Rattus norvegicus: one gene and its partners. The protein of the gene in region 2 purifies or fractionates together with the protein of the main gene of each other region. This does not show direct contact. Links are inferred from orthologs where the notes say so. Each region holds a gene or a part of one and is shown on either strand. Other genes may lie near its edges. The genes, in order: Tmem231, Tctn2 and Tctn3.

The links.
Region 1: the proteins of Tctn2 (region 2) and Tmem231 purify together in Homo sapiens (affinity purification with mass spectrometry; 3 studies listed by BioGRID and IntAct, counting the BioPlex papers as one, with this or other methods). This does not show direct contact. The link is inferred for Rattus norvegicus from reciprocal best matches to the Homo sapiens genes TCTN2 and TMEM231.
Region 3: the proteins of Tctn2 (region 2) and Tctn3 purify together in Homo sapiens (affinity purification with mass spectrometry; 3 studies listed by BioGRID and IntAct, with this or other methods). This does not show direct contact. The link is inferred for Rattus norvegicus from reciprocal best matches to the Homo sapiens genes TCTN2 and TCTN3.

Annotation. Positions count from the first base shown.
Region 1 is NC_086037.1:56,810,588-56,814,732, forward strand, and holds the start of Tmem231 (transmembrane protein 231), read right to left. Parts: upstream 2,929-4,145; 5' UTR 2,918-2,928; coding exon 2,779-2,917; intron 2,677-2,778; coding exon 2,507-2,676; intron 1-2,506. UniProt on the Homo sapiens protein: Transmembrane component of the tectonic-like complex, a complex localized at the transition zone of primary cilia and acting as a barrier that prevents diffusion of transmembrane proteins between the cilia and plasma membranes.
Region 2 is NC_086030.1:37,643,947-37,647,578, forward strand, and holds part of Tctn2 (tectonic-2 precursor), read right to left. Parts: intron 2,911-3,632; exon of another isoform or gene 2,675-2,910; coding exon 2,518-2,674; exon of another isoform or gene 1,803-2,517; intron 1,713-1,802; exon of another isoform or gene 1,359-1,712; coding exon 1,233-1,358; intron 1,089-1,232; coding exon 1,000-1,088; intron 118-999; coding exon 1-117.
Region 3 is NC_086019.1:249,371,889-249,376,206, forward strand, and holds the start of Tctn3 (tectonic-3 precursor), read right to left. Parts: upstream 2,811-4,318; 5' UTR 2,755-2,810; coding exon 2,523-2,754; intron 2,374-2,522; coding exon 2,250-2,373; intron 2,020-2,249; coding exon 1,901-2,019; intron 82-1,900; coding exon 1-81. Other genes in the region: Entpd1 (ectonucleoside triphosphate diphosphohydrolase 1), read left to right, coding at 3,032-3,155.

The DNA of each region.
Region 1 (4,145 bases), on a different chromosome or scaffold from region 2:
AAGGGGTATGTGTTGGTGGTGTGGGGGAAGAGCCTTAATCATTTGAAGATTTAAAGAGTTCAGTGATGCTACAAAAAAAAAAAAAAAAAAAACAAAAAAAAAACAAAAAAAAAACAAAAAACAAAAAAACAAAACAAAACAAAAAAAAACAATTAACATCCAAAGCAAACACTTATGCCCCAGTTACCTAATGACTGTGTTAGAACTGCTCCCCAGGCTGGGTGATGGTGGCACATGCCTTTAATCCCAGCACCGGGGAGACTGAGGCAGGGGCATTGCTGAGTTCGCGGCCAACCTGGTCTACAGAGCAAGTTCCTGGACAACCACGGATACAAAGAGAAACCCTGTTCGGAAAAACGAAAACAAAGAAGCACTCTCCCGATGTTTTTAATAAGATTTGCTGCGAGTCTACTTCTGTTTCCCGATGTTTTTAATAAGATTTGCTGAGAGTCTACTTCTGTTTCTGAGTATTCTCTACCGACATTCCACAGGGGAAGGCCGGAGCCTTCGTTTTCCTCCCCTTCCCACCAGACCCCATGGCATCTCCCCGCTCCCCTGATCCCTTCAGTTTCCCTAGATGCACATTTTGCTTAGTCAGCATTCTGTCTAAGACGATGACTATGCAAGTCCTGTTCGCAACCCTGACTGCATCTCCTTCCTTGCTTCTTCGCGAGGTTTATTTCCCTGCAGGAAATAATTGTTTTCTTTGCTTGCTTTGTTTTCTCTATGTGCATGAAATTTCAACAAAAAGCTTCCGCTGGCATTCAGAGGTGTATGACATAAGTCTGGGCATGTGGTACTCGTCTGTTGTCCCAGCTTCTTAGGGGGCTGAACGGGACTTACTGCTTCAGCCAAAGCCAGCTTGGGCAGGCAACAAGCAAGGCAATAAGCCATCTCAAAAAGAATAAAAAAGCCGGGGTTGGGGATTTAGCTCAGTGGTAGAGCGCTTGCCTAGCATGTGCAAGGCCCTGAGTTCGGTCCCCAGCTCCGAAAAAAAGAAAAAACAAACAAAAAAAAAAAAAAGAAAAAAACAAACAAAAGAATAAAAAAGCCGTAAGATTTAGTTAAAAGCTTTAATTCATACAATAATTTTAATAATAAAAATAATTGGGGCAAAATTTTAAAAAAACACATCAAGGAGTAAGGGTGGGTAATGAGATAACTCAGCAGGTAAAGACCCTTGCAGCCAACCCTGGGAATCTGAGCTGGATCCCTGGGAGAGTGACAGGAGGGAACCGACCCCTTCCATGTTGTGCCTCTGACTTCAGGAGCCAGGGCTCCGGCTTTTGACACAGAATAGCCTTGAGCTTGCTGTGTACGTAGGGGAGGGGCAATTTAAATTCATCACTCTGCTCATGTCATTGAATAAGCTACAGATCTTAAAACTAACAAACTCGGTTGGTTAACAAGTACTGATACATATACCAACCACAGTGAGCCTTCACTTTTCTGTCAACAGGTTTGTGATAAGGAAAAAAATAATTATACATATATATATATATATATATATATATATATATATATATATATATGAGAACCAAGTAATCTGAATTAGATTTTGCATATTGCTATCTTATTTACCTGTTGTGGGGAGAAAGTCTGACACCCCTGCCACGCACCCGCCCCTTCAGCTACAGGAGTTTGCCTTCTAGGCTAATAATCAGACCTGTCCGAATGGATCCACATTTGAATGTAGGAAAGCCAGATGTCCCATACGACTAAAGGAAATGTAAGGAAGCATTTGATTTATGCGAAAGCAAACACTAAACTGCAGACAGTAAAATGTTCCAGTTTCATAGGAGACAGCTGCAGTGTGGAACCCAGTTAGGAGCCTAACCCAGACAGGCGTGGCTTGGCCAGAGCCGGAGTCGAGAATTCAACCAATCAGCGCTTTCCCTACCCTACGTCCAGTCTGCATAAAAAATGCGGGCACTTTCTGTCTTTACAGCCTGGTGATGTTCAAATTCAGCGACATCCTGGCGTCTACAGAACCCGGCCTTCAAGCCCTTAAAAGGGTTTTCACAGCCACTTTTTCATTCAGAAGTGACCAGCACCAGAGACAGGCAGTGCTCTGGCTTCTGGACTCAAATCCACCAAACATACCGCCTGCATGGTTGATTGTCTGGGGACACCTCAAGAAGCTGAGTAAAACTATCTAAAAAGTTAAGCATGCGCGGGCCAAAGAGACTTTGTTTCCAACCCCGGTGGATCCTTGAGATCCAAGCTGTGGGACTGAGCATTGGCTCAGTGGTAAAGTGCTCGCATGCAAGCAAAAAGCCCTGGGTTTGATTCCCAGCACCCCACAACCCCCAGCACGGCGTTGCATAGCAGAAATTCCTGGCCCTGGGAAGGTGGAGGCCGGAGGATCAGTTGTTGAAGAACGACTTCGGCTATATAGTTTAAGGCCAGCCTGGGATACATGAGACTGCCCCCACAGCCCGTCAAATGACCCAACTGGGATCTCACCCCATGCTTTCCCCCCAGGGTCCGGGCGGGAACCACGCACCGACACGAGCGGAACGCGCAGGTGAACCCCCTGCAGCCGGTTGAAAGTGGGGTACGTGCTCCAGGCGAGGAAGGCTCCCGGCTCGGGCCCCAGTAGAGCCACCAGCAGCACTTGGTGCTGGAAGCGCACGTTCGGCTGCTCCTCGTAGTTGCTGCGCTTCAGCCAAAACCCTGCGGGAGACAAGGCGTGTTGGGGGAGCCGGGTCAGGATAGCCGGCCTGGGCCCGCGGGCCGCGCCGAACCGAGTGGCCCTCCAGACCCAGGCAGGCTTACCGTGGCTCCGGAAGGCCACCAGCAACGGGGGGATGTAGGTGAGCGCGGTGGCCAGCAGCAGGAAGAGAGCGGCCTTGGAGCAGAGCCCCGCGCGGTAGGCGCGCTCGATCGGGTGAGAGAAGAGATGGTACAGCGCCATGAGCCCAGGGCCGCAGCGCGGAGTCTCCACGGCAACCGACGGCGGGCAGAGGAACCAATAGCAGGCACGCAGGCCTTTAGTAAGGGGTGGAGCTAGCGGGAGGAGGTTTCTGTGTTAGTTAGTACATGCATTTTGATTCGGTTCCCGTGGGTCCCTTCAAGAAAGCAACAGAAACAACATTTCCACTCACCAAAGTCTGTGTCAGTTGTACAAAATCAGATGTGCATAGATGTTGACATCTCCCCATAGGTCATCTATTAACTCACAACATAGGATGGTTGATATAGCTTAGTTGGTAAAAGGCTAGCTAGCTTACCATGCAGGAAGCCCTGAGTTCATACCCAGCACTTCATTAAACCCGGCATGGTGACCCGCATCTGTAATACTAGCAACTCTTGAGATGGAGGTAGGAGGACCGGAAGTCCAAAGTCATCTTTAGCGACACTGAGTTAGAGACCAGCCGGAGATATGCGGGACTGTATCTCAATGGAAAAACTCCAGTATGGTTCATACTGAAGTCCGGCCACTCTTTTTTTTTTTCTTTCTTTTTTTTTTGGAGCTGGGGACCGAACCCAGGGCCTTGCGCTTGCTAGGCAAGCGCTCTACCGCTGAGCTAAATCCCCAACCCCCCCAACGCCCCCCCCCACTCTTATAAAAGGGCCACAGTCCTAGAACCAGGTACTTTTGCCTTCAAAGTTAGTGCTTTCACTTTGCCCCGTAGCAGAAAAGATAGAAAACGAGAAACAAATCCCTTGGTTCTTCAAAGGTTTGAGGGTAATTTACTACACGGCTCCTTCTGGTGTACTTAGGTATAAACGCTGATATTGTCTTCCTCAAAGTTAGCATTAGCGAATCACTTAGGTAACTACTAACAGGAATATCTTAACGTGAAAGACAGATTTTATCTGTTTTGAAGTAGGGTCTTACCATGGAGACTGTGCTGGCCGTTGATTCTTTCTCCAGGTCCTCAGCAAGAACAGTCAGAGCTCTTAACCCCTGGGTCTTCTCTCCGGCGCCCACCAATTATATCTCTTAATTCTGGAAAGGCCGTCCTCTGACCTGTACAGGCCTGTCATGGTGCTTATCTGAATATTACATAAATACTAAATAAATGTTATAACATGTAAGTAAGCTGGAGAGAATGGCCCGTTTTCCAGAGGATCTAGGTTTGACTTTCAGCACCCACATGGTGACTCATAGCCAATTGTAACTCCAGTCACAAGGGATC
Region 2 (3,632 bases):
TGGAAGCGGAGGACCAGGCTTTGCACATCCCGACCCAAGGGTGCCTGAGGAGTATGGCCAACATGAGGAGTGACAGCAGCATCAGGCCTTTGGCGACACACTGAGGCCGGGGCTCCCCTGAAAGGCAGCAGAAGGCAATCATTAAAAGCATGAAGGTCCTTGTGCCCACAGATCACCAGGGAGGCCAGGAACGGAAAGGACATGCAACCTGCTTTTCCATATAGAAGGGTAAGAATGGGGGTGGGTAACAGTCTGGTGATCTGCAGTATCTGTTGGGCCAGGCCCTATCAAGACCCCACAACCAGGACCAGAGGTAGCTCACAATCTAAATGACCTTATGTTATCTGTATCACCAAGGGCTCCTGCAGGCTCTCACAACCAGGACCAGAGGTAGCGCGCAGCCTAACAACCCACATGACCTCTACACTAACTATATGACTGAGACCAGGCCAGATCCTTCCTTAGACTCGTAAGCTAACACAGGTAGTCTATCCAGAGAACCATTCTTGGAAGAAAGGACTCTGAGTTGTGTTTCGATGTTAACCACGCCCCCTGTGTACTAGGGATTGGATTACACCAGGAAACTTTCCCCCAAACTGTACTGTGTTTAAATATGTTGGCAATAAAACACCTGACATCAGACTCCTGAAGTTTGACCCAGCCTGGATGGGTTAAGTCGGGCTGAACTGAGTTTTCACTCATTCTCATTTCTTTGTGGCTTATTTCCCTGCCAACTATGACACTTGCCGGGGACAACCCCCACCCCAACAACTGAGTCTTATCATGTCTTGACTTTGAAGGTAATAGTTTAGTGTTAACCATTTATTGTTATCATAATTTCTAAGCATCATAACCGTAACTTCTAAACATCGGTATTAGTGTGGTTTCTTCTTTTAAGTCTTTCGTGCTTTAAGTTGTCTGGGACATTTCCACATTGACTGGTAAACAGTTTTAACCGGCACAACGTAACTTACAACATACAGAAACCTGGCTTCCTACCTTGATAATATTGGGTCAGAGGGTACAGAAGTTGGGGCCAGCACAGCTCATTCCGGGTACAATCGTACTCTGTGAAGTTGATCTGGAATCTACACAAACACGTGAGAGGGTTACAGGGAAAACTAGAAAGAAGCAGGAAGGAACCTGCGAGCCTGTCAGCCATTGGCTTATCTGGTTGTGGGCGGGGCGTCTGCGCAGGAAAGAACCTGTGAGCCTGTCAGCCATTGGCTTACCTGGTCGGGCGGGGCATCTGCGCAGGGATGTTAATGAACTTAACAGAGGCACTGAGGGGGAGAAGGTCGGCTTTGTCCTCCTCACAGGTGAGCCCACATTGGTACTGCCAGGTTACTGTGGAGAACCTAAGAAAGGACGATTGTGAGGTAGTGGCCACCAACCACTGAAAGTCTAGGAAGCCAAGTGCTGGATCCTCAAGTCTAGACCCAGAATCTACAAGTCCTTGTTCCGATCACTGGCTGCTGCAGCCAGCTCCCTCCTCTCGCCCAAGTCACTGTATGCGGGTTCTCTTAACAAGGATTGCTTGTCTCCAGCAGTCTAATAGGAAGAGCCTCTGGTCATTTATCGAAGGCGTGCCATGCCCGTGGCACCGCAAAACAGTACTGCGGAACGGGAAGTTGCTTAGCAAAGGAGACCTTGGCTCTACCCCGACACTGAAGTGGGTCTGATGGGAAATCAGCACAGCTTCTCAAATTCTAGTAACTGCTCCCCAACTTTGCGGGGGGTGGCGGTGGGGGTGTGGCTGTGTGTGTGTGGGCGGGACACATCACTCCCTGCTCTCTGTTCAGTGGGTCAGAAGACACCAGCCCGGATCCAGAGCCTGCATGCTAGAGCTATTGATAGTTCAGACCATAGTGAATGGCTCCAAAAGGAACCCATGACCCAGCGAACAACAACAGAAAAAGGCTCTGTAGACAAGAAGGCCTCTCTTTACTAAGCCCAGGCGAGGCGAGGCTGGTGCTGACCTCACAGGACCAAGGAGGATGCCCCTGAGTATGAAGACAGTCCCAGGACAAGGTGAGCTGGGGGTAACCAGAAAGAGACCCTCTCTGACCTTGCAGGCATGGGGACTCTCCCAAACTGAATAGCACCCACCACTTTTTGCTAAGTGGAACCTGTCACATGAGGTAAAGACGCAATGCACAAGGGTGTCATATTTCCTTAGATAAAGCTATTGCATATTAAACTGTCTGAAGTCACACACGGTTCCATGATCGGAACCTATGGTGCCGGCAAAGCCTCCAACCAGTGGCCACGTTCTGTCGCCAATATGCCACTCAGGCCCATAGAGTTAAATACCCTCAGAACGGAGCAGTCCCTTGTCAGCCGTGGCCCTCCCCTGACACCGCAAAAGCTCTCATACAGAGCTTTACAAATACTCCCGAGGGCCCTCCATTTATACAGCCCCAGCTATTAATGATCGCCATGTGTGCGGATTTCTGCCTGGCATTCCTGGTCTGTGTCCTGCTCTCCACCTCAGCGACTCTCGGGAAGGGACCACACCTTGTCTCCACAGCCAGGATCTCCCGCTGAGCCTCCCCTTCCACAGCGCCAGCCTCAGCAGTGAGGATGCGGATGGTGACGTGGGTTGGAACTTCCGGGCACATGCCATTTGCGCTGCTCAGAGGCAGGTCGGCGCCTGCATCAGGGGCGTCGACGCCTGCAGGAATGTCAAATTAGACATCTGTTAGTGGCGGCTGTCCCACGTGTCAGCCATGATACCCAAAGCCTCTCAGGCCTGAGGCTCAACTCTCTTGCAAGGGTGTTGTCACTCCATGACTATGTGACCTCACAACATCTACGGCAGGAGCAGTGCTGCTCACCTGGGTGGTGTCTAAATGTCCCTGTGCATTGAACGTGGTCCCAACCCACAGAATAAACCCAAACGTGGAGATTCAGTGTCTGGGGCTGCAGAGACGTCTCAGGATTGAAGAGCACTTGCCACTCTTATGGAGGACCCAGAGGCAGCTCCCAGCACCAACATGGTCGTTCACCTGTAACCCGTCCTCCAGGGGATCTGATGCCCATTTCTGTCTTCCAAGGGCGCCCACACACACATGGTATAAACTTTCACACACACACACACACACACACACACACACACACACACACACACACAAATACATCTTTTCCTCAAAAAGAAAAATAAAAGATTCAGTATCTAAGCTTGTCACTGAAAGCCACAGAGTGTGCCGACAGGGACAGTAGAGAACCCTGGTAAATGGTTACCAGACGATGCCAGACATTTATGCCCTAAGAGAAGTCATATAAAAAAAAGACATTTAAAACTCATCTGAGCATCTTTAGTTTCTATGGGTTAGATAAATAAGCAATTTGCTGGTTGGGTGCACTACAATAACATAACCAAACCCTGGGCTCACACATGCCAGGCAAGCGCTCTTTCTTAGAGCCACAGCCCCAGTCCCTGGCAGTCCCCTTGGTGAACAATTCTGAGCTGTGTGATCATCCCCACTCTCTCAGGACACCTCCTGATTTTTTTTTTTTTTTGACTGTTTTAGGATTTAGGAAGTTGGTGCTAGGGTTCAAACCCACAGCTCTCCACACTCTAGACACTAGGCGGAACCACATCTCAGCCCCAGATTTACTTTCAAATTTTC
Region 3 (4,318 bases), on a different chromosome or scaffold from region 2:
ACTGGCCTCCAAACTCTGCAGCCAGGGCCTGGAAGTTGGTTGCATTGACTGTTTGGAGCTCCTGGAAATAGTTTGATTTTGCTACAATTTACAAAAAAAAAAAAAAAAAAAGAACAGAAACTTAGATTTAAAAAAATTTCATTTTAAGTATCTGGCATAAGAAACAACCTTTGAAGCACAACACACACATTTTATCACATGCAGATGAACATCCGATGAGTTTAAGAAAGAACTCTAAGATGACTCGGCTGGTCAAGGCAATAGCCACCGAGACTGACAATGACCTGAACTGGGACCTACGTCCTGGAAGAAGGGAATGGATTCTGATAGGCTGTCTGTCCTTCCATCTCCACACGTGTCCTATGGCGTGTGTTCATGTCACACGCGTGCGTGTGCCTACTCCTTCCACATGGGAAATAAGTGAAGTCTTTACAGAACAAAGTCCTGCTCGGGCACAGGTATGCTGGCATCCAGACTGCATACCACCTCTCCTCCATCTTTAGGAGCTGAGGCTCCCAGCTCTGCAGCTTCCTCACAGAAACTGCACAGAAAGGCTACTGGCCTCCTATCAAATCCCGTTACGGCTAGCTTTGCAGGCAAGAGTTAAGTGAACTAGAGAGAGGAGCTGAGTTCAGGAGTCAGTAGCTGTGGATCCTTTCCGTAGCTTTTCTCAGGAAGAGCGAGTTGCCACACGACCCCTCATCTCAGTACAGGTGTATTGGCTGACGTAGTGATAAGGACAAAAGCACACAAGACATACACGGTGAGGCCATACATATACACATGTATATTATTCATATACGAATTCATATACAAATACATAAATGTTCTCATTAGTGTCACGGTCGCACATGGCCTACCATCAGCCAACAATTTAAAGGTAGTGTAGTGCAAACTCTGATAGAACTGGATGTGAAAAGAAGCCTACAGACCATCTCATCCACTCCCATTAGGAAATTTGGATCCTCTGAGGCAAGGTTGTTGCAAAGACCTCAGAGTAAGCTAGCAAAACCAGGAGCAGATCCCCAGTCCCCTACTTGCTGGTCTGCAGTTTTCCCACCCCACCGTGCTGTAGAGACCCTGTTAGAAATAGAACACTTCCCCCCAACCCTCCATGATCATTATCAAGACATTTTATCCACTGTGAATAAATACAGTTTGCCCTTTTCTAAAGTGACTTATTTATTTTTATTTTATGTGCATTGGTGTTTTGCTTCTATGTATGTCTGTATGAGGGTGTCAGATCCCCTGGAGTTGGAGTTACAGTCAGTTGTGAGCTGCCATGTGGGTGCTGGGAATTGAACCTGGGTCCTCTGGAAGAACAGCCAGTGCTCTTAAGTGCTAAGCCATTTCTCTACTCCCACAGCTTGTCCTTTTAAGGGGCTGATAGTTTGATATCTGGAGGAAGTCATAATATTCACATAAACTTACAACCATACAAAGAACTCTGCAAATTCTAAAGGACTGTCTCAGAACTTCCAACTTCCCAGGACGGGCTCACTTGGGCAGATGACATTAGATTCTTAGGAGAGGTAAGATGTTCCCAATGTAAGAAGAAAGAAATTTAGGAGAAATTTAAGGCATAGCTTAAGGACAAGGAACATGAATTTGTCCAAAAGAAAAGAGCAGTATAAAATCATTAGAGAAAAGCTTGCAAGAGAAATCAATCAATCAATCAATCAATCATCCATCGATCAATCAATCAATGCTGATTGCCAGGCTAGAGTTGCTGAGCAGTATTTTAAAGGTGGTGGAGAGTCACTGGAGGTTTCTGAAATTACTAATGAAAGGAAGAGGGTAGTCGTAACATAGGGATTTGGAGGACAGGAGAACTCCAAAGACAGAGTCACGTCGTAATAAACGTTAAATGACAAGAGCGGCCAAACTTGTTTCTACTCACAGTTGTTCACACGGACGCAAAATTGTGTGATTCCACTGGAGTCCGTGAAAACTCTGGAAGGAAATGGGGAGTTGCTCCTGAAGACCAGGGAGTTGTCCACACATACCCAACTTGAAGATCTGTGAGGAAAGTTGAAGATACTGAGGAGGGGCGTGGAGTACGGTTAGGGAAGGGGCCCTACCCTACCAATGTCTGAGGCCACTAAGGGGGTCTGTGGGCAGAGGTACAACATTCCGGGTAATGTTTTACTGGATGGCTCAGCACTCCCGGGAAAGCCCAAGGGAATATTTTACGCGGGGATCTGGGGGTAGGAAACTCACTCTTACTTCTCAGCCAGAGCACAGCTCACCTTACACTACCAGGAAGGCAGAAGGAAAAGACTGTTCTGGGATGGAGAAGATCGCAGTCCTTATCGCAGCAGCAGTTTAAATCGCAGGTACCAGGAGTCAAGTCACAGACACAGATCGATAAGGCTATAAGTGAAAGAGGCAAAGCGAGGTGAAGCTCCCCAAAGTTTTCCCTCGCGGATAGCCCCATTGCAAGCTACGTAGCGAAGCAATATTGTCTACACAATTTTAGATCCGAGAAGTCAGTATTTCCATCCCGTATCCCGCCGCATCACCTGGGAAGGGGTCGGTGGTCGCGTTCTCGGGCATCGATAGTGTCCAGGGGGTAGGACTCTCAGACAAGTCTGGAGGCGCTGTAGTTGGTACTTCGGGCGTCACTGGCCCCAGGACCCAGGAGGTAGGCAGAGCCCGGGCTGTGGAGGAGGGCTGCGGCCGGGCGGCGTCAGAAAGCATCAGGCCCACTAGCAGCAGCAGCAGCAGCAGCAGCAGCAGCTGCGGAGTGCACATAAGGCAGCCGGGCCGCAGAGGGGTGCGACAGGAGCCCGAGTCTCCAGATAGATCCTAGAGCCCAGGGGTGAGGAGTCGGAGATGACGTCATCAGCTTCCATCTGTGCATTGGCTCAAGCGGGAGCCGTGTGCTCTTCAGCCAATGGAAGACCGTGTTGTTACGACCCGGCGCGTCCTTCTTGCTGCGCTCTCCTCCTTAGCGGCGCGCCGCTCCCGTTACCTGGCAACCGCTGGGAGCCCCTGGGGCTAAGGCGTCTTTGCCCTATTCTGCCGCTAGATGGCAGCTGGCATCAGGTTGGTGCCCTTTACGGACCTGGAGGAATTGAGTGAAGTCTTTGCTGAGGGGAAGACCCAGAGGCAAGAACTGGAATTACTTGTGTCTTTTGATCGGTCTTCCCAAGGTAAGAGACCCTTTCTGTGGAAAGACCGTGATTTCAAGGAGAAAAACACATAGAAAGTCACATCTCTTACGCGTGCCGGGAAACTGAGTACCGGATCGCCCTCGTTACTCCCTAGACTCAAGCAGGATCACGAGTTTGGGCCAACCTCGGCTACTGAGTGAGAGACTGTTCCCTAAAACAAAGACAAATGAACAAAGTCCCCATGATAGAGGCTTGAGAGATGGCTCAGCTGTTAAGAATATTTGTTCTGTCCAAGAACTGGGGTTCGCCTCCCAGAACCCACAGGGTGTCTCACAACTTTCTGCAACTCCATTTCCAAGGGATCCATTGCCTGTGCCATCTCTGGCCTCAGTAGGCGGCATCAGACACTCACAGACAGGTACACAGACACATGCAGGCAAAACACTCCTATGTATAAAATCTAAAAGAAAGTTTAAAAAAATCTCTCCACTGTAATACTATGGTATTTTTAAAAAGCACAGTAAAACAATGCTTATTTCAACTCCATGACAGTTTCATGTAGCCCAGGCTGAACCTCAGACTCAAGATGTTGCCAAGAATGATTTTCTGATCTTCCTGGGTCTAGAATTTCAATCATATAGGCCATCACAACATCTTGGAGGTCAAACTCACGGCCTTGGCTTCATGCACACCTGGCAAACACTCTATCAACTTAAATGTTATTTAAAAAAAAAATGCTTGTGTCTTTCAATCGGTCTTCCCAAGGTAAGAGACCCTTTTTGTGGAAAGACCGTGATTTCAAGGAGAAAAACACATAGAAAGTCACGTCTCTTACGCGTGCCGGCATAGTGGATCATATCAATAAAGGTGATCTGTACATTTGTTGCTAGAAAGTAGTAAGGGGAGAGGTTCAGTACAAGAAAACAGGATGGGAAAGAATTTGAGGACTTAGAGGAAGTTACATTTTCTGAGGCAAAAGTCAAGACTCAGAGGTGGAAATAGCCAAGGAACCAAGAAGAAAACTTATTGCTGGTTTTTTGTTTTGTTTTGTTTTGTTTTGTTTTTGTTTGTTTGTTTGTTTGTTTGTTTTTACCATTTTACCATTAAGTTTTGTGGCACTCTCTAGAATGTGTTTGCTCTTCTCAGGAGTGTCGTGGCCCTTCTGGTCGTCCAATAGCACAAACAAACATTCCGTATTTCCA